2 linked regions of the Elephas maximus indicus genome follow. The protein of the gene in region 1 purifies or fractionates together with the protein of each later gene. This does not show direct contact. Links are inferred from orthologs where the notes say so. Each region holds a gene or a part of one and is shown on either strand. Other genes may lie near its edges. The genes, in order: cytochrome c oxidase subunit 6B1 and CHCHD4.

Region 1 (10,755 bases):
ACCATACACATTGCCATTGAGCCGATTCTGAATCATAGTGGCCCTATAGGACAGAGTAGAACTGCCCCACAGAGTTTCCAAGGAGCACCTAGTAGATTTGAACTGCTGACCTTTTGGTTAGCAGCTGTAGCTCTTAACCACTACACCACCAGAGTTTCATAGTAGACAAGAATTATCTTAGGTGAAGGGAAGGACAACACACAATACAGGGGAAGTCAGCACAACTGAACTAAACCAAAAGCTAAAAAAAGTTCCCTAAACACAGCCAAACAGTTCAATGGACAGACTGGCAGGGGCAGGTGTCTGGGGACCATGGTTTCACGGGACATCTGGGCCAAATGGCATAATAAAGTTTATTAAGAAAATGGTCTGCATCCCACTTTGATGAGTGGTGTCTGAGGTCTTGAAAGCTCGCGAGTGGCCATCTAAGATGCATCAGTTGGTCCCAACCCACCTGGAGCAAAGAATGAAGAATACTAAAGACACAGAAAAATATTAGCCCGAGAGACAAGAGGGCCACGTAAACCACAGGCCCCATCAGCCTGAGACCAGAAGAACCTGGTGGTGTCCGGCTACCACGGATACAGCCCTGACAGGGAACCCAACAGAGTCCTGATGGAGCAGGAGAAAAGTGGGGCGCAGAACTCAAATTCACACAAAAAAACCAAACTTAGTGGTCTGACTGAGACTAGAGGAACCCCAAAAGACATGGCCCCCCAGACTCTCTGTTAACCCAGAACTAAAACCATTTCCAAAGCGAACCATTCAAAGATTAGACTGGACTACAAAACATAAAACAATACTCGTGAAGGGTGTGCTTCTTAGTTTAAACAGATACACGAGACTAAACGGGCAGCTTCTGTTCAAAGGCAGGATGAGAAGGCAGAAAGGGATAGAAGCTGGTTAAATGGACATGGGAAACCCAGGTGGAAAGGAGGAGTGTGCTGTCACATTATAGGAATTGCAACTAGGGTCACATAATAATTTTTGTATAAGAAATTAACTTGAGCTGTAAACTTTCACCTAAAGCACAATAAAAAATAAAAATAAGAAAAACAAAAACTTAGCAAGTACAAAATCAACCATAATGAAAGAAATGAAAAGAAATTCCATAAAAAAAAAAACCTCCAGGCACTCCATTTCCCTCCATTCCATCCCGTTGCACGCAGGCATCAGGTTACATTTATAAGAACGTCTACAGCAGCATCATTCTCAGAGTCCCAAGCTGGAAACCACACAAGTGTCCCTGAAGAGAAGAGGTAAGTTGTGGAATACAGCGGAGCAATAAAAATGAACAAACTACATGCCACGGCCTGGCTGAATCTTAAAAATGTGAATAAACACATCCAAACACAAAGAATACATTTAGTATGTATGAAGCTCACTGAGAAGGAAACTTAAAAACTTGGTGATAAAACCCCAACTGTGACTGCCACCTGTGGGGTCATACCTCTAGTGGGGAGAGTAGGGGGCTGTGTTCAAGACAGGGCACGCAGAGGGCAGGGGAGTTCCGAGTGCTGGCAATATTCCACTTTCGATTCAGGCTATGGGTGCTTGGGGGTTCATTTCAGAATTATTCATGTAGCTGTACACTGTTTTATGTACTTCCTGTACATATGTTGCATTACACACACACACAAAACCAAACCTATTGCTGTCCATTCTTTAGAAATCAAAGTTTGTGATCGTGGCCGACCCTGGACATGCTGGCACTAGCTCTCCAGAGGTAAAAGAGGAGCTAGGACCAGTGTTAGGATGCATGGGAGACCCCAGCAGGGTGGGGGAAGGGGGAAGGAAAGGGGAAGGGGGGACTTGAGGCATGAGACCAGGGGAAGATCTGTGTTCTCCCACCACACCTTGCTTACCCAGGTAGTTCTGCCAGCAGTTCCTGGTTTGGTTCTGATTGGGGAAGCGGCTGTCAAAAGGGGCAGTCCGGTAGTTCTTGATTTTGCTCTTGATGTCTTCTGACATGGTGATGACTCCTGGAGGAGAGGGGGTGGGTGTTGGTAGGGACTCTGGGGTGCCTAGGCATGGGATGTCCATCCACCCAGGTCCAGACACAGAACGGATAGAGAAAGGACAAATCCATATCTCTGGGTGTGGAAGTCACAGCACAGTTGGGGACTACTCCTTAGCAAAATCAGGCCTGGCCCCAAATACACTGCCTACCACATGCCAGGTGCCGTTCTACACTTTACTCACAACAGCCCCTCTGTAAGGTAGAAACTGTCCCCACTGCACAGACGAGGGGACAGTGTCTAAGTCGCTTCCCAAGGTCACACACCATACACATGGTGGGGTGCTACACTCAACCACTGGCGTACCCTACACCATAGAGGCCGTGAACCCCTCAGGGGCCAGATGAATCCTATAAACCTTCCTTAGAATGTGTTTAAATATATTTTAAATTGCATAGAATCACAACAAAAACCAGTTATATCTTGCTGCAGCTTTATCAACCACGATTTTGAAGGAATCACACGTGAGAAGGATAATTCTATGAAATCTGCAGCAACTGTAATGTGACATAAAAAAAAAAACCCTGTTGCCATTGAGTCAATTCTGACTCATAGCGACCCTACAGGACAGAGTAGAGCTGCCCCATAGGGTTTCCAAGGAGCGCCTGGTGGATTCAAACTGCCGACCTTTTGGTTAGCAGCCAAACGCTCAACCACTGCACCACCAGGGTTTCCAATGTGATATAACAGTATCTGTGATTTTGACTGGTGACCAAAATACAGGTGCTGTTAATACTACGGAGGCTGCTGCCTCCATTCTAACTGAAGGAAATGCTATATTTGAATCAGAGGTTCCTAAAAATACAGATGTAATTTGTCCCCTCTTCAAGCGCTAGCATCCCTCGAATTCTATAGACTCTGCGGACATAGGGTTAAAAACTTCCGATATAATGTCTCTAAAGAGCTGAAGCACAGTCTTCGCCTGGGAATCTGCGAGAAACTGCCTCTGAATTGCAGGGAATCCGCGGCGTCATGGGTAGCAGAGAGATGCCCAGACCGGTGTTCAATTCAAGCGGCCAGCGCAGCAGTAGGGGTCAGGAGCATCGCAACAGTCTTCGGGAGAGGGGAGGTGGAGAGGAAGTCGGAGAGGAATGTAAAACACCAGCTGCTGGAACACAGCCGTGGGGACAAAGAGTAGCTTTATTCGGGCGAGATCTCAAATCGATATTTGGATGACGGTGGATCTGGGGTGAGGACGCGGACTTCCCAACGTCCAAGGAAAAGGAGGGGTCGGATACCAGCCACGCCGCGGTCCAGGCTAGCCCCGGGAGGTCATGCCTGCGGCCTGGTGATTAAAAGCACTGCAATACACACTAAACCAAAACCCACCCAAAATCCCGATTCCGACTCATAGCAACCCCACAGGACAGAGAAGAACTGCCCCAGAGGGTTTCCGAGGAACGGCTGCTGGGCTCGAACTGCCGACCTTTCGGTTAGCAGCCGACCTCGCAAACCCTGCGCCACCAGCGCTCTGCAGTCCAACTACTGGGTCCGAATCCTGGTCGCTGTGTGAACTCCGCTACGTCGCTTCCGTAACATCTCAGAGCTTCAGTGTCCCCACTGTCAAAAGGCGGTCATCCCAGGCTCGACCTCACAAGGGTGGAGGGAGGATTAAATGAATATAAGCAAAGCGCTTGAAAAGCCGCCTGGCATTAAAAAAACACTGCACAATCGTCAGCTGTGTTCACAGAACAGGCCCCCGGAGGCTCACGGGGAAGCCCGGCGTCACCGGCCGAAAGCCTCCCTCTGTTCTCGGGGAAGCTGGGGTCTGGTTCCTCAGTCCCCCGGCTGGGGTCCTAGGCTCCCCTGCCCGCCATACTCACCTAAAGACACCCCTGAAACCGCTCGCAGCTCAATGTGACCCTCAGAAGGCGACGCCTCTATCGGACCGGAAGCGGAATTAAGAGCTGACGGAAGTGGAGCGAGGCGAAGCATTGAGGAGTCTTTCGCGCGGCTAGAGCGCCCGCGGGGAGGCGGTACCCGGAAGCCGCTCTGGCACCGCCCACCCATGGAGCTCCGCCCTCCCATTGGGCTCACTGCCTGTTCACCATCACTCCCAGGCCAACCGTGAGCTGGCGCGGCACCTGGAAAGGCTCCCAGCTGGGGCTCGGGATACCCACTTACAGGCTCTCATGATCTCCCTATCTTTACCCCAGCAAGGTAGTTGTGGGTCCCGGGGCTGGCTGGAGAACGAGCCTGGAGAAGGCTATCCCATTGGAAGGACGTTTATTTGTGCAAGAAATATTTATTGAACGCTTACCCTATACCATGCAGTTCTATTAAGCGTTGAGGATACATTTTTGAACAACAAACACCAAAGTCCCTGCCTTCATGATGATTTTTAAGGGGCCAATTGTTAGAAGATTGAAAACAAACCAATCTCTCCCCCGGGGTTACTCATCACGTTTTGACCCAGACTCCACCTCCCTGCTCATCATCTTTCTCCAAACTTCATAAAAAAAAAAAATTTTTTTTAAACTTCATAAGGCACCAATTAATAAAGATTCGGGTGACTTGGGGCTGTGATGAGCCCTGGTGGCGCAATGGTTAAAGCGTTCGACTGCAAACCGAAAGGTCGGCGGTTCGAAACCAGCAGCGGGAGAAAGATGTGGCAGTCGGCTTTCGTAAACATTACAGCCTTGGAAACCCTATGGGGTCGCTGTGAGTGTGACTTGACGGCAGTGGGTTTCGTGTGGTTTGGGTTTGGGTCCGTGAAGAAATGATTCCATCGCGGCCTTAAAAACATATCCAGAATCTCCCCTGTCGTAGCTGGTTTAAGCCACGGTCACCTCCAGCCTGAATTATTGCAGTAGCCTATTCTCTGGCCTCCTAGCTACCTGCTGCCCTCCCCAGTCTGCCCATTCAGCCAGAGGGACCCCGACAACATCCTCCTCAGCCCAGAACCGTCCCCTCGTTTCTGATGACTCAGAAAACCAAAAAACCAAACCCTTTGCCATTGAGTCAATTCCGACTCATAAAAAAAACACTCATACCCCCCCCAAAGAAACCAAACCCAGTGCCATCGAGTCGATTCCGACTCATAGCGAACCTATAGGACAGAGTAGAACTGCCCCATAGAGTTTCCAAGGAGCGCCTGGCGGATTCGAACTGCCGACCCTTTGATTCCGACTCATAACGACTCTATAATAGGACAGACTGAAACTGTCCCATATGGTTTCCAAGGAGCGCATGGTGGGTTCGAACTGCTGACCTTTTGGTTAGCAGTGGAGCTCTTAACCACTGTGCCACCAGGGCCCTTACAGAAGTCCTCTTCAAGGGCGACACAGCAGGTAAACTCACACATGAGTGATTGGGTCTGATTCCTTTACGCGCCCCAACACAGGGCAGGCACACTGTAGGCCATGGGGGCTGGTTCTGATTCCTTGGCACGCCGCGTCACCGAGCGGACACACAGTAGGTCCCCTTCGGATCAGTCTTTGGGGCCACTGTTGTGTCTCAGGAACACTCAGCACGAAGGGGAGGGTGCGGGTGTGGTGGTGCCCAGGTAGGCTCCCTAGCGTTAGTGGGAAGGATGCGGACCAGCACACGCGATGAGGTTTGACGGGATGTTTTTATTGGGTCACTGCTCTTAGTCGGGCCCCGCGCGGTCCGGCTAGGCCAGGCCCGGCACGCGGCCCCCGAAGCGGTAGGTGTACTTGCGCCCACCGCTCTTGAGCACGATGTCGCGGCGGTAGTAGTAGCGCAGGCCCCGGCTCAGCTTCTCGTAATTCATGCCCGGCTTCCTCTTGCGCTCGCCCCACAGGCGCGCCACCTGGGGCAGAGGCGGGGCTTACTCAGAGGGGGCGGGGAAGGAGCAGGGTGGGCCTGGCTGGGCGAGGCCGGGGGTGGGGTCCTGACAAAAGTTAGACAGGTCCCAGGCGGGTGGCCGGGGTAGAGGCCGGGACCCGGCTCACCAAGCGTTGTGAGGCGCCTAGTGAGGGCGAGGCTGGGGGCGGCCAAAGGAGACCAGGGCGGGATTTGGCCAGGTGGGGCTGGGGGGCGGCCAAACCTCTTTGGGGTCGCACAGCTGGAACTCGCGGCTGTTGCCCGTCCAGCGGATGCAGCTGCTACGAGCCCCGTCGCGGAGCAGCTCCAGTAGGAACTGCCACAGCTGAATAGGACCTGCGACGAGGAGGCGTGAACACTCAGGCTTCAGGGCCCCAGGCCGTGGCGCATCGACGACCTAGGACGTCCAAGGCGTCCTACCAACTCGAGGCCCCAAGAATCTGGAGCCCTCATATAGGGGACCCAAGAGTCTGCTTTGGACACTCAGGCATCCGCTCCTTCTCCCCATCTCGGGGATTTAGGAGTTTAGCCTCCCTACCCCGGAGATGGAGCCGTGGTTGCTCAATGGTTAAGAGCTTGGCTGCTAACCTAAAGGTCGGCGGTTCGAATCCACCAGCCGCTCCACGGGAGAAAAAACCTGGCGACCAGTTCCCTTAAAGATTACAGCCTAGGAAACCCTAGGGGGCAGTTCTACTCTGTCCTGTAGGCTCGCTGTGAGTCGGCATCAACGGATGGGACACAACAACCAACAGCCTTGGAGATCCAGGCGTGCAGTGGAGACTGGGCCCCCATCCGCTTGCTCCCTAGAAGACGCTGGTCTTTTCCCCAAGCACCAGGGTACCTAAGCCCCGCCCTTACACCCTTTCCCGGGTCCCTCCCCCTCAAACTCCTTGACCCCGCCTCGCTGCACTCAGGCAGGGCTCCCTCGGGGACCTCTCACCTCGGTGGCTAGTTTGGCGGTAACAAGTCAAAGTGGAACGATCCGACTGCTGGCTCGGTTCCGAGGAAGTGGTGCGACCTGAACTCTGGTACCGCTCGGAAGGGGTGGTGCAGTCCGCATTCAGCCCCCGGGCGCAGGAGGTGGTACAGTCCGAGCCCGCAGGCCCGCCCCACGAAACGCTACAGTCCGCGCGCGTTTCTAGGCTGAGGCCCGGGCAGGTGGCGCGATCGGGGCCGATCGAGCAGTCCCAGCTGGTGGAGCCCCCCGCGGCTTGGGCAGGCGACCACAAAGGGGCCGCTCCTGCCGAGGGGGGACAGTTCAGCCCCGCTACCCCTTCAGAACCAGCGAAGGGCGTGGGGCCCAGGCCGCGGCCGGCTGGGCCCAGGGCCTGGGAGGCGGGACTCCGAGGGTCCGAGCTGAGACATGCCAGGTCCGTCCAGTCTCCAGGCCACTGAAGGGCCTGAGGGGCGGGCTCTGTAAGGAGGAACGGACCCCAAGTGAGGGGAGCTCAGGTGTCCCGGCCCTCGCCCACTCGGATGGTCTGGGTGTCTAAGGTCTCAGCCCCGGCGCCTCCTGGCCCGGGCTCCGGTTACTCGGGGTGGAGGGAGCAGCTACACGGATCCAGGTCATGCCACCTTGAAGCCACAGGCGTCTCCAGTCCCAGCACGTTTTCCCTTCAACCACCTGGGAATCTAGGCCTCCAGCCCCGGTGCTCTGGGACCCCCAGTTTCCTCCTACCTCCGCTTTTCCACACACTCACCCGTTCCCCATGGAGCTTCTGGGTGGGGTAAGGCGGAGCGCCAGTCCAACTGTGGGAGCCCTGCGAGGGGCAAGGTGGTAGCTGTGTTTAGAGAAGGGTGTCAGTAGTGATTAGAGACCCTCCCTCAACAACCCACCCGGACCCAGGACTCAGGACCCTGGGATCCCTCCTCCCTTGACCTCAGGACCTCAAGCAGACCCAGGAACCCAGCCCTCTTCTTCCCCGCCTGCAGCCACCTTTACAGCATGTCTCTGCTGTCAGCGTGTCCTCTTGACGTGCCAATTCAGGGAAATAGAAGCCAAGTTCGACTCCCGCTGCAGGCAATAAAGTGGTCAAGGCCAGCTCAGGGGTCAGCAGGGGTCCCACCTGGGCCTCCTCTCCACAGCCTCAGCCCCAGCAGCCTACCCAGCCCTGAGAGCCTGTTCCCAGGGGGCACTTCCTGTGGTGATGCTCCATCCCAGTTCGACAAATCCATGGATGTTCCTTCTGAATGTTCCGGGCCAGGAAAATGGGAAAGAGCAACACTGAGCCGGTGGCACTTAGGGACCCTGGAGTTTGGACCCCCACCCTTGGCTTGCCTCAGACCCAGGGGGCCTGGCCCCTGCTCCCTCCTTCCCCACGATCTTGGAGACTTAGCTTTCAGCCCTCCCCACTCTCAGACCCAGGATTCAGGACCCCCAGCCCCTCCTCACCCAGTCTCCAGCTCTGCGCTCACCTCTGGCAGGTCCCTCTGCCCTCAGCCGGGGGTCTCAGCCCCATTTCATACCATGGACCCCCTCCCCGGGGGCCGGGGCAGGGGGGAATTTTCCAAGACGTCAGAGCTGGGGGTTGCAGCGGGGTCGAGTTGCAGGGGCAGGGCGGAGCCGCGCCCCCCAGCCTCAGGGATGGGCGCCTGTCACCCCCCCGAGTCGCTGGGGCTGTCCTGCAGCTGGAGCAGCTTGGGCCTGGACCTGGTCTTCGGGAACAGCGGGCTGAGGGAGTGGGGAGCCCTACGTGGTGATGGGGGGCAGGCGGGAGGGGGCGGGGAGGGCTCAGTGTACAGGTTCTCCCTTTGGGGGACTTGATTCTGCGACATAGTAGAGGGAGAGGGTCTGGGGTGGGCTGGGCTGAGCGAGGCTTATCTGCAACAGGAAGCGGGATTTCCGGCCATCCCCTCCCCACGGTCGACGTCACAATCCACAGAGGTGGGGTGGGGTGAAGAGAGGCTGACCCGGGAAACCCCATCAGGCCCTTCCAAGGGTGTTGGGGAGGACGTTTGGGGACTGCTCCCTAGAAATGTCAATCATAATAACATCGACAGTATAAGCAATACAAAAGTAATAGTAATATCTAACATTTTATGCGGGGGGGGCTTCTTGTTGTGCTCAGCTGTGCTGGGTCTTCATTTAATCCTCTTAAGAGGTAGTTAGTATTCTTATCAGCATTTTATGAGGCAGGAAATTGAGGCAGGCTTCCTTCTACTTCCACTGCAGATCCCATGCCCCTCCGTGTTATAACAGACAGTTGGGAAGAACTGGAGAGATTTGATCATGAATTGAATATGAGCTATCAGAATTACTGTTAATATCCGTAGATGTGGTAGTGGTAGTATGATAGGAAAGATGTCTCTACTGAGAGATGGATACTGAGGTATTCAGGAGTGAAGTGTTACAATGTAACATTTGAAGAAATTCAGATCATTCCGCAAAAAACAAAAATGTGTACATGCAACATATACACACATGCAACATTGAGGACATACGTATACTAACAATTTATTAATTCTCTGAAATTCAAATGTAAGTGGGTGTCCTGTGTTTTTATTTTCTCAATCTGGCAACCTGGCTTCAGAGTCTCTGCTCAAGCCCATCAAGGTATATTAATAGGTCAATAATATTTACTGTTAAAAATACCCTAATTCTTTATAGGGACATTTTCCAATATTCACCCAGCTTCAATCATTTACCAGTTGCCATTCTCCTTTCATCTTAATAACTGTTCCCCCATGCAGCTCTACTCTAAACGCCTTCCCCAGAATCCCTTGTAAGGGGGGTGGGGGAGTGGTGGTTGGTGGGGTGGGAGGTGGGAGGGTTGAGGGGAGTGAGCACTGCTCTTCTGTCCATTTGGTTGTTGTTGTTGTTAGGTGCTGTCGAGTCGGCTCTAACTCATAGTGACCCTATGTACAACAGAACAAAACCCTGCCCCGTCCTGCGCCATCCTCACCATCGCTGTTACGCTCGAGCCCAATGTTGCAGCCACTGTGTCAGTCCATCTCATTGAGGATTTTCCCCTTTTTTGCTGACCCTCTACCTTACCAAGCATGATGTCCTTCTCCAGGGACTGGTACCTCCTAATAACATGTCCGTAGTACATGAGATGAAGTCTCGCTATCCTTGCTTCCAAGGAGCATTCTGTCTGTACTACCTCCAAGACAGACCTGTTGGTTCTTCTACCATATTCAGTGTCCTTCACCAGAACCATAATTCAAAGGCATCAATTCTTCTTTGTTCTTCCTTATTCATCGTCCGGCTTTCCGATGCGTGTTGCGATTGCCCATTTTACAGAAGGGACAATATGGTCTCCACCCATCCATCCAACCCCAGAGGCCTGAAGGGAGTCCTGACCTTCCCTGCCCCCCAGCCTCAGGCCTCCTCTCCAGAAGAGATCTCAAATTCCCTCTGCTCCTGTCTTCCCCCTTACTGCATCACATTTTCCAGTCTGGCCTGAGGGTCAGAGGCCTCTCTCCTGTGTATTGCCATCTGTCTCTCCCCGGTAGGTTCCCCCAGCTCTGAGTGTTGCCCCAGGCCTGCCTCCAGTGAGGGCTGTCACTCATTCTCTCTGACAAGTCCGTGTCCACCTGAGTCTCCCCATCTCTCTGAGTGCTCCTGTCTCCCCCATCTTCTGTTTCCATCTCGCTGCTTTTTTTTTTCCCCATCTCCCTTCTTACTCCCCTATTTCTGGCTGATTGTTCTCAGTCTTTTTTCATCTGTCTGCCTTGAGCTGCCCTCCCCATCTCCTCCATCTCTGCCTGATTGTCTTTCCTCCACCCCAGCTCTCTTCTCTTTCCTCCCTGTTCCTAGGACTCCCGTGCACACATTTAAAACCTCCTTTCTGGAACCGCTCTCTTCCGGTCTCCTTCCTTGCCTCCCTAATTGCAGTGAGCGGGAGGGGGTGGGGAATGGGGAAGCTAGTGATGGGGGGTGGGGTGAGGGTCCTGGGGCTGGGTGGTCTAGCTCAGGTTGGAGGGGGCCGAAGGGCACTTCCTGCTGGAG
Region 2 (10,850 bases), on another chromosome or scaffold:
CCCTTTCCCCAATTTCCTTTGTCTTCTCCACCCCTCGCCTACTCTCAGCGCATGTGGTTTACGTAGGCTGATTTGAACCATCATTTAAATCATTTGACTAAGGCCTAGCCACCAACAACCCCCTGGCTACAGGATTTGGTTCAGAGAGAGGACAGAGACCCAAGCCAGGACACTGAGAGCTCTCCCTGCAACTGTGGCTAAACTGATTTAGAAAGACATGGTTCCTCTTTTCTCTGGGGTTGCTAAGCTGGTTGGATGTCCCCCTGGAGTTGCTAGGGCCACCTCTGTCATCATGAAGAATAAGCCTTCCCAAGAACAATGCCATCACAGAGAAAAACTGCTAAGGGATGGAGAAATGAAGATTCCTGATGACCCAGCATGAACACCTGGATCCAACCAGGCCTGAAGCTGGGGCTACTCCCAGGATTTTTAGGCATGTGAACTGATCTGTTCCTTTTCCTGCTTACATCAGTTGTGAGATGGGTCACAACAGAAAAGCTTCTGATGAATTCAGCACCTCTCTCTCTTTTGGAAAATCTGGGCCCTTTATTACCAAATCTAGCCTCTGGATTCACAGCCTTAGCTCTCTGACACCGGCGGGGCGGACCCTCACTTTATACAGTGGGACCCTGAACATTTTACCTCATTGGTGAAAATTATGTAGAAGGACAGCAGGAAGGTCATGAGCCCCACAAACATGCCACCCGAGGTCTTGCTAAGCCGCTCCAGGAAGCCTGGCTGGGGGCTTGCTGTTGTTTTCGTGTGTTCTCTTCTGTTAGCCGTACTGGAGTACTGAGGAAAAAACAGATTTTTAAAAGTCAGAATGAGAGTTAGGTTTTTAAAAAATATAATTGAGTTTTGCTATTTATTTATTTAAACTCAGTTCTTATTGAGATACAATTTTCACACGGTAAAAATGCACAGATATTAAGGGTATAGTTTAATGGGCTTTGACCAATGTATGCCCTATGTGACCAACACCCAGACCAAGATAGAGAACATTCCTATCACCCAGAAAATTCCTTTGTGCCCTTTCCTATCAGTACTCTCCCTACCCTCAGATGAAACAACTCATCAGATTTCTATCACTATAGATGAGTTTTGCCTCTTGTAGAACTTCACATAAATGGAATCATACAGCATGAAATCCTGTCTGTCTGGCTTCTTTCACTCAGCATAGTGCTTTCTGAGACTCATCTGTGTTGCATATCAGTGATTTGTTCCTTTCTTTGGCTGTGTAATATTCTAATGTGTGGACATGCTACAATTCATGTATTCATTCACCAGTTGATGAACACCTGGGTTGTTTCCAGTTTGGGGCTATTATGAGTCATGTGTGGACGTGTGCCTTCATTTCTCTTATATGTTTGTATGCATAAGAGTAATGAAACATATATACATGCATATATGGAAACCCTGGTGGCCTAGTGGTTAAGAGCTATGGCTGCTAACCAAAAGGTCGGCAGTTCGAATCCACCAGGCATTCCTCAGAAACCCTATGGGGCAGTTCTACTCTGTCCTGTAGGGACACTATGAGTTGGAATCGACTTGACGGCAACGGGTTTTTTATATGCATATATATATATGGGAGTAGAACTGCTGGGTCATAAGACAGACGTATGTTTAACTTTTTAAGAAACTGCCTGTTTTAAGAAAAGGTTGTTAGAGATGTATTTTTAATTAAATTCAACAAATAGTGACTGAGCTGAGGGCCATGCATGCTGGGCCTGGTGGAGAGGAAAGAGGGGGAGACAGGCTTATGGGGCAGTCATGTGACAGCCACAAACAATACTAGAAGATCATGCTGATTGAGTGTCCAGTGAGAGGGTGGATCCATGCTAAACAAGTGACCCCTTCCAGCTGGGGGATCAAGGCAGGCTGCCAGGAAGAGGGTACATTTGAGGAGGGTTTTGGAAGGGCATCCCTAGCAGGGAAGCTGTGCAGAAGTGATTCTATAGGAAGAGCTGCCAACCTGCTGGGCCTAGGGCTTTAGGGCAGTGGGGGAGATGCAGGAAGCGAGGCACAGCCAGGCCTCTAAAGCCAGGCTTTGTTCAGGTGATAACAAAAACAAGGTTTGGAGTGTGTTCATAAGCATGGAATCTGCAGGACTGAGTTTGAGTCCTGGCTCTGTCACGCCAGCTATGTGACCTTGGGCAGCAATTTAATCCCTATGTTCCTTCCGTTTTTTTCATCTGTAAAATGGGAACAATAATCCAATGCACTGGGTTCTTGTGAGGACGTAATTAGATGGCTCAGTGACCAGTGTATGGTGAGCCCTGTACAGGTGCTGGCTGGTGGGAGTGTTATCAGGTTTCTCTGTGGTGTCAAGGCTGGGGTGAGCTGACAAAGGTCACCAAGATGTCAAGTGGTTTGCAGATGAGCACCAGGGTGAGCGAGGACCCATCCTGCACTGAGTTGGGTGGGGGGGAGGTGTCAATGGAGAGATTCAAGACAGAATTTCTGCTTCAACAAAGCGGATACCAAGTTCTTCTGCTTGTCCCTGAATGCCACCACCACAGGCTTGTCAGGGACTAGGTGTCCATTGTGTCCAGAAATGGTCTTGACTTTCCATGCCATTTGGAAACATTAGTGGAGTTACTCACCATAACAAAGATGGTAAACATCCCTGTCTACCACATGCCCGTCATGGACAATCCCAAGGCGGTGGGTGCCATCACTACTCCTATTTCACAGATGAGAGAACCAAGGGCTGGGGGTTAAGTCACCTGCCTAGATCACATAGTCAATAAAAGATGGACTGATTTAGGATTCAAATTCAGGCAGACTGGAGGCCACTCTCCTACTGCTCTGCTCCAGACTGCATTCTGCATTTCTTCGGCTGTAATGTGAGTTGAACCCTGGGAGCCAGCCGTGGGCAGTGACGGAAAAGAAGAGAGGGCAGCCCCAGCCTTGGCCTCCCCTCAGCTACCTTGAGAAGCCAGTATCAAGAGAAGGGGCTCAAAGACGGCCTTGAAGGGAGGGAAAAGAAGCACAGGGGGTCCCCCCAGGCTAGGGTTATGGGTAGGAGGTGACACAACACACACAGTCCGCATTCTGAACTGATATTCCCAGTAAACGTGGAGGCATATTTATCCCCAACGACACATACCCAGCTCTCAGGGCTCAGAGACAACGTGGTAGGAACCGAGATCCACATCCAGGCCTTGGAATAGGACAGAACTGGATTTAAACCTCAGTTCTGCAAATCATGGGCTCTGTGACCCTTGGCTGTTGCTCCACTCTTCTAATTCTGTTTATTCCCTGTCTTAGTCATCTAGTGCTGCTATAACAGAAATACCACAAGTGGATGGCTTTAACAAACATAAATTTATTTTCTCACAATCTAAGAGGCTAGAAGTCCAAATTCAGGGCATCAGCTCCGGTGGAAGGTTTCTCTCTCTATCGGCTCTGGAGGAAGGTCTTTCTCCTCAATCTTTCCCTTGACTAGGAGCTACTCTGCACAGGAACCCCCAGCCTAAAGGACCTGCTCTGCTCCCGGCCACACCCCAGGGAAACTCCCTTTACATTGGATCAGGAATGTGACCTGGTAAGGGTGTTACAATCCCACCCTAATCCTCTTTAACATAAAATTACAATCATAAAATGGAGGACAACCACAGAATACTGGGAATCATGGCCTAGCCAAGTTAATATACATATTTTAGGGGAAACATAATTCAATCCATGACATTCCCTTATAAAATAAGATGGTATAGTACCTCCCTCACAGGACAGTTGTTATATGGCTATGAATTCTGTCACTTTTCTTCTCTGATCCACCCTTCCCTCTTCAGATCTTTCTTCTTCACCAGCCTAGTAAACCAAAAACCAAACCCACTGCTGTCGAGTTGATTCCGACTCCAGCCTGGTAGCTCCTGTAAATGTGCACCCAGCTACTGGATGAATAAACCAAGGCTTGGCTGCAAAGGATAGCTAAGCAAGTCTGTTACCTGACAAAGTGTCTGGTCCCAACATATGTGAGACGGTCTCTGCCCAAACCAGGACAGGGAGATAGACACAGTCCAGCAACTATGAGGACAGAATTTCTTTTTTCCATATATTAAGTACCTACTATGTGCTTTTTTTTTTTTTTTTATGTGCTAGGTGGTACAGTGATTAAGAACTGGGTTGCTAGCCAAAATCCACCAGCCATTACTTGGAAACCGTGCAGGGCAGTTCTACTCTGTCCTATAAGGGTCGCTATGAATCAGAATCAATTTAATGGCAAAAGGTTTATGTGCCAGGCGGAGGCATGGTAGCACAGTAGTTAAGAGCTCGGCTGCTAACCAAAAAGGTCAGCAGTTCAAATCCACCAGCCGCTCCTTGGAAACCCTATGGGGCAGTTCTACTCTGTCCTGTAGGGTCGCTATGGGTCGGAATTGACTCGACGGCAACAGGTTTGGTTTTTTTGGTTTATGAGTCAGGCACTGTGCTGAGCAGTCTGGCTTAAACTTCACAGCAAGCTATAGGAGAGAAACCATTACTGATTCCATTTTACGGACGAGGAAACATAAACCAGAGAGAGTAAGGCCACACAGCTACTGAGCAGAAGAATCTGGATCTGCCCTCAGGGCTGCCTGACTCCAAAGGCACCTCTTCAGCACCTTCCCATGACAAAACCATTCCCTGGAGCAAGTGCCTCTGCCTGCTGGGAAGTTCCACATTGTAAAATATGGTGAGGGGAGGGGCAGCCAAGAATCCACCTACTGGGAGTGGGATGGCCTCCTGGCTGCACCCTCCTCACAGCAGACCCTGGGCCTCTGGGTCTGAAAGCCCACGGACCACCTCAGCTCAAGGCTTCTATCCCCCACACTCCCAGGGCAACACTAACCTGAAGCAGAGCGTGCTAGGGTTGTGGGTGACAAACCCTGGTCTCTCAGGGGGCGTGGGAAGCAGAGAATGCTCAGGGACAGAGAAAGGGTATGGAAAGCGGGTGTAACAAGCCAGGGGACGGTGGCTGGAACACTCCATCAAAACACGAGGGAGGGTGTGTGTGGGGATGGCAGGATGCCCAGGCTGGCTACAGAAGCACTTTCACACAGAGGAGTGGTGAGTCACCAGCTTCTCCCAATCCAGCACCCTGCAGGAGGTGCTGCTCCTCCCTTTGTCGAATGAACGTTGGGCGTAAATAGAAAAGCTCCTGAGAAAGGCTGGCTGCAAAGAGAAGAGGGCAGCCTTTGGAAGGGAACCACCTTCAGCCAAGGCCTCTTTAATCAAATCCCCTCTAGAAGCAGGCGGATCCGGCAGTTGGGAAATGCGCCTTCTCACCATAATCCTAACTCTTGCGCCCCAGCTCAACCCGAGCCCCTTTGCTGCATCACGGCCTCGATGTGCATACATCCCTAGAACGGGGACCTCACTTACCGTCGGGCCAGCCCTGTCCGTTGGTGGAGAGCTCCACTTGGGGCCGGAACGGCCACCCCGCCCTCCCCACAGACAGGCCTCTCTCTGAGGTCCCCTCCAGCTCTCATATTCTGCAAGTTTGAGAACCCCAATTTGCTCACATGGAGTCTCCACGAGTCGTGATCACCTCGATGCTAACTAACAACAAGTGCCCAGGAGGGAACTGGGAATGAAATGTAGGGCCTCAGGTAGGCGCCGCGCTCAACAAGATGCCACTGCCAGAAGCGACACCTCCCGGGTTTCCCTCCCCACAAACGCGCGACCCGAGGATGAGCTAGGCTAAAGAATATGGACAAGCGGAGGATGGAGAGATTCAAGATAGATCAACAGGCTGACGAGCTGCCAGCGGCATGAACACAACCGTGCAGAGGTAGACAGACAGCGGTCAGACGAACAAAAGGAACCGGAGGCCCCTGGGTGACGGCAAGTCTGGGTGTGGCCCGGGTGAGCAGGAGACACTCACGTTCGCGGCCATCGTGGCACCTGGCTCGTCGCCGCCTCCTCGCTCTGCTCAGCTAGAGCTGACAACCGGAATCCAGTGGCCTCTTGCCGGCCGGGAGCTGCAAATGCCGGCGTGGGGTCCAGGACAAGGCGGGACTTGCTACAGAGTTACCACCCCAGGCGCCCCCATTCTTCTGAGCACGCGCGCCGCAAAGCCTCCTGGAAAATGCAGTCCGTGGAAAGCCCGGAGTCACAGGCTTCCGCCACAAAGTTGCAACATGCGCGGAACCGCACTCGTGCGCATGCGCATCGCAGGACTTTCTGGGAAATGTAGTTTCTGCTGCCTGGAAAGGGGCCATGGGACACGCAGCCTCCTGGGAAATGTAGTTCTCAATTGAGGGGCCGGGCTGAAGCTAGGAGGGCGCGGAAGCAGGCGCGCGGCGGGCAGGCCTGGAGGGGGCGGGCCCGCGCGGGCCTCGGAGCCGCCCGCCCTACCTGAGAGGAGGTCACGGCGTGGATCCGCCACCGCCGCTCGGGCTGCGAAGTCTGAGTGCCCGGCTGCCGCCATGTCCTACTGCCGGCAAGAAGGTAGGGAGGACGAGCAGGCTGCCGTGGAGACCGGCCTACGAGGGCCTGCAGGGGACACGGCACCCGGACAGCCCCCGCAGGCCCGGGCGCCCCGCGACCCCACGGCCGGCCCGGCAACCCGAGGCGCAGTCCTGGGCGCCGTCCTCGGGACCCTAGGGGGCGGTCTGGGCGGCAGAGTCTTCACCCCATTCTGCAGATGAGAAAACCCAGGCTCTGGGAGGAACGGGGCTGGTCCAAGGTCATGGAGAGTCTTGAACCCTGGCCTCAGAGGAACCAGCACGTGCGAGATTCATAAACTAGGCCCGGAGGGTGCACGAGAAATGCTGAGCACGTTTCCTGGCCCGTAATTGGGAATTTATTAGTATTAATTATTACAGTCACTCTCACCACAAACCACGTGTTTCCATACTGCATGCGCCTTGTTCCTGTCCCGAAAAGTTGCCCCTCGGGTCAGATGCTGTGCAGGAGTGGTAGAAGTACCCCTGGCGGGAACACTTGTTAGCCCCTACTAACCCTGGTGGTGTAGTGGTTAAGAGCTAGGCTGGTAACCAGAAGGTCGGCAGGCCGAGTCCACCAGGCGCTCCTTGGAAACCCTATGGGGCAGTTCTCTTCTATTCTGTCTTGTAGGGTCCCTATGAGTCAGAATCGACTCGACAACAGCGGGTTTGGTTTTGGTTACTACGTCAGGCACTGTTCAAGGAGCTGTTACATAGTTTATTTCACTGGCCTTTCAGCGATCTAAGTCAGCTCCTGTTTTTATCCCCATTTTACCGAAGAGTAAATTAAGGCACAGAGGGGTTTAAGTGACTTGGCCTAAATCACATGGCCAGTATGTGGTGGAGGTGGGTATGAGCCCTGGCATCTGAACTGCACTATCCAATCTGGAGCCTGGGTTCCCAGGAGCCTTAGGCCAGGAAGGCTTCCCCTCCCCCGACAAGGTGGGTCACCACTCACGCCTTTCTGTTTCCCTGTTGTTACCACTAGGCCAGAGCTTGGAAGGTTAGATGGTACCAGTGCCTCCTCATATGCTACCACTAACTGATCTGCCATCTAATTCCTCCCGGCCCCACTTTCCAGTGGTGTAAAATGAGAAGTTGAGCTTCATTCATTCTGCAAATAATCATGAAACACCTCTGTGCAGGGCCGGTGGACACTTAAGAATATAAAATTCCAGAGAGTCGGAACTCACCCAGAGATTTTTTGGTCAATAGTCCTGTCCCCTCAGTTTAACTCAGGAAACCTGAAGCCCAGAAAAGGGGCTCACCTGTCCAAGGGCATGCAGCCAGTTAGGGGCAGAGCTCCTCGTAGAATGATAGGCCTTTTCCCCAATACCCCAGCCTGCTTCTGGAACTTTTCCTCCTTCCCTGGATCATAAAGCCATAATACTCACTGATGTCTCTAAAAACCCATTGCCATCGACTCTGACTCACAATGACCTTATAAGACAGAATAGAACTGCTCTCTAGAGTTTCCAAGGCTGTAATCTTTGTGGGAGAAGATTGCCACATTTTTGTCCTGCAGAGTATCTGCTATGTTCAAATCACTGACCTTTCAGTTAGTAGCTGAGCATTTAACCACTGCGCCACCAGGGCTCCTTCTAATGTCTCTAATGAGCACTGTTTCCTGCTGATTAATAATTAAGTCTGCCATAAACGAAAGTCCTCTGCCCTAACCAGTTTATGTTAGACAGTAAGTCCTTTGTCCTATTTTTAACTCCCTTTCTCTTAGTCTCAAGTTTACTTCATTTAACAAATCATTTTTGACCCTCTTGGGTACAGTGAGGCTGTGCAGATAAATAACACCTCTTCTGTTCTTGAGGAGTTTACAGCAGTCACAGGTTCTCTGGGAAGGAGGGGCAGTGTCCCTCTGCCACCAAAGCGTGAAGCCCTGTCTTTTCCTGGTTCAGAGGTCTCTCTCTTCCTTAGTTTGGAGATGAGAATTGAAAGTACTCACTTGCAGGCCTGTTTTAGTTGTTACTACAGGTTAAAGGCCTTAGCTTGGTATTCTAGGTGTTTTGCAGTGTGAACTCAGCCTTGCTTTGTGGCCTTGGGCCACCCGTACTTCTCCGTCAGCTCCACACTGCTCCTTTCTTTGGTTTCTTCTCTTCCTAATACTGAGCCTGCCCTCTCCTGTTAAGTCATCAAATATTGAGCATCTGTATGTGCCAGCCATTGGACATATATTAGTGACAAAGGTGACACAATCTGTGCCTTCCTGGCATCTGGTGGAAGAGAGGGGCATTAAAGCACCAACAGTTGTCATTGTTGTTAGGTGCCCTTGAGTTGATTCTGACTCATAGCGACCCTCTGTACAACAGAACGAAACGCTGCCCCAGTCCTGCGCCATCCTCACGATCCTTGTTATGCTTGAGCCCATTGTTGCAGCCACTGTGTCAGTCCATCTTGTTCAGGGTCTTCTCTTTTTTGCTGACCCTCTACTTTACCAAGCATGATGTCCTTCTCCAGGGACTGATCCCTCCTGATAACATTGTCCAAAGTATATGAGATGTAGTCTCACCATCCGTGCCTCTAAGGAGCATCCTGGTTTTACTTATTCCAAGACAGATTTGTTCATTCTTTTGGCAGTCCAAGGTATATTCAATACTCTTCGGGAACACCACCATTCAAGGGTGTCAGTTCTTCGGTCTTATTCATTGTCCAGCTTTTGTATGCATACGAGGCAGTTGAAAACACCACAGCTTGGGTCAGGCGCACCTGAGCCTTCAATGTGACATCTTTGCTTTTCAACACTTTAAAAACATCTTTTGCAGCTGATTTGCCCAGTGCAGTGCATCTTTGGATTTCTTGACTGCTGCTTCCATGGGCATTGATTGTGGATTCAAGTAAAATGAAATCCTTTATAATTTCAATCTTGTCTGCATTTATCATGATGTTGCTTATTGATCCCATTGTGAGGACTGTTATTTTCTTGAGGTTGAGGTGTAATCCATACTGAAGGCTGTGGTCATTGATCTTCCTCAGTAAGTGCTTCAAGTCCTCTTCACTTTCAGCAAGCAAGCCTGTGTCATCTGCATAACACAGATTGTTAATGAGTCTTCCTCCAATCCTGATGTTGCATTCTTCTTCATATATTCTAGCTTCTCAGATTATTTGCTCAGCATACAGATTGAATAAGTATGGTGAAAGAATACAGCCCTGACACACACCTTTCCTGACTTTAAACCACGCAGTCTCCCCTTATTCTGTTCGAATGACTGCCTCTCGATCTATGTAGAGGTTCCTCATGAGCACAATTAAGTGTTCTGATATTCCCATTCTTTGCAATGTTAGCCATAATTTGTTATGATCCACACAGTCCAATGCCTTTGCATAGTAAATAAAATACAGGTAAACATCTTTCTGGTATTCTCTGCTTTCAGCCAGGATCCATCTGTCATCAGCAGTGATATCCCTGGTTTTACGTCCTCTTCTGAATCAGGCTTGAATTTCTGGCAGTTCCCTGTCCATGTACTGTTGCAGCCACTTTTGAATGATACTCAGCAAAATTTTACTTGCATGTGATATGAATGATATTGTTTGGAATAGACAAAAATCCCTGCTCTTGTGGAGCTGATGTTCCAGTGGGGGAGACAGGCAGTAAACACCTAAATGTGTTAGGTGGGGAAAAGTGCTTTGGAGAAAAATAAAACAGGGTAAGGAGATGGGGAAGTGGCCTGGGAAGGGGGCATCTGAGCAGGAGATGTGAAGGCAGGGACAGAGTGGCTATGAGGAGATCTGAGGGAAGACTGCTCCTGGAAGAGAGAACAGCCTGTGCAGAGGCCCAGAAGTAAGAGTGTGCTCAGCAGGTTCAAGTAAAAGCAAGGGGCCAGTGTGGCTGGAGTGGAGGGAGCAAGTGATGGGAGATGGCATTGTAGCGGTGAGGGATGCCGATCTTTCTGGATATGTTTGAAGGTAGAGCCAACAGGATTTGCTGATGGAGGTGTGAGAGGAAGACAGGGTCAAGAATGGCTCTGCAGAGAGTAAAACTGTGGAATTGAGAATGGGGTGTCTTGGTGTCGAACTGCTCAGTTAGTCGCTCTGTTCTCAGTCTGCACTCCTGCTTTCACCTCTGAGGCCTCTAATTCCAGAGCCTTACCAGGGTCCTGGGGTGGGGAGCGATTTGCTTCTGGCCGACTTCCACTCCGTGTACTTTGGGTTCAGCTTTCTCCACTTGTTAAGTTGGAGACCACTCCTCCATCAGCTTTCCCACTTCCAAAGCTTTATTGGCATCTCAAGCCTGCCATTGTCACTTTTCCTGGCTACTTTATCTTTGTCAGTTGGTGTCATTTAAAACTTTGTTTTTTAAGTGGAATTTCAAGAGAAACTTGTGTGTTTCGGTACCGTTGTTTGGCCAAAGCCTATTCCTGCCCTAACCGTGTGAGATAGGGAAATCAGGTGAGGTGGTAGGGCTCGTTTTCC

What was found.
Region 2: the proteins of cytochrome c oxidase subunit 6B1 (region 1) and CHCHD4 purify together in Homo sapiens (co-immunoprecipitation; 3 studies listed by BioGRID and IntAct, with this or other methods). This does not show direct contact. The link is inferred for Elephas maximus indicus from reciprocal best matches to the Homo sapiens genes COX6B1 and CHCHD4.

What each region holds. Positions count from the first base shown.
Region 1 is NC_064829.1:114,612,010-114,622,764, reverse strand, and holds the start of cytochrome c oxidase subunit 6B1, read right to left. Parts: upstream 3,949-10,755; 5' UTR 3,842-3,948; intron 1,983-3,841; 5' UTR 1,972-1,982; coding exon 1,866-1,971; intron 1-1,865. UniProt on the Homo sapiens protein: Component of the cytochrome c oxidase, the last enzyme in the mitochondrial electron transport chain which drives oxidative phosphorylation.
Region 2 is NC_064838.1:39,927,088-39,937,937, forward strand, and holds the start of CHCHD4 (mitochondrial intermembrane space import and assembly protein 40), read left to right. Parts: upstream 1-6,230; 5' UTR 6,231-6,410; coding exon 6,411-6,432; intron 6,433-10,850. Other genes in the region: TMEM43 (transmembrane protein 43), read right to left, coding at 643-792, 5,867-5,878.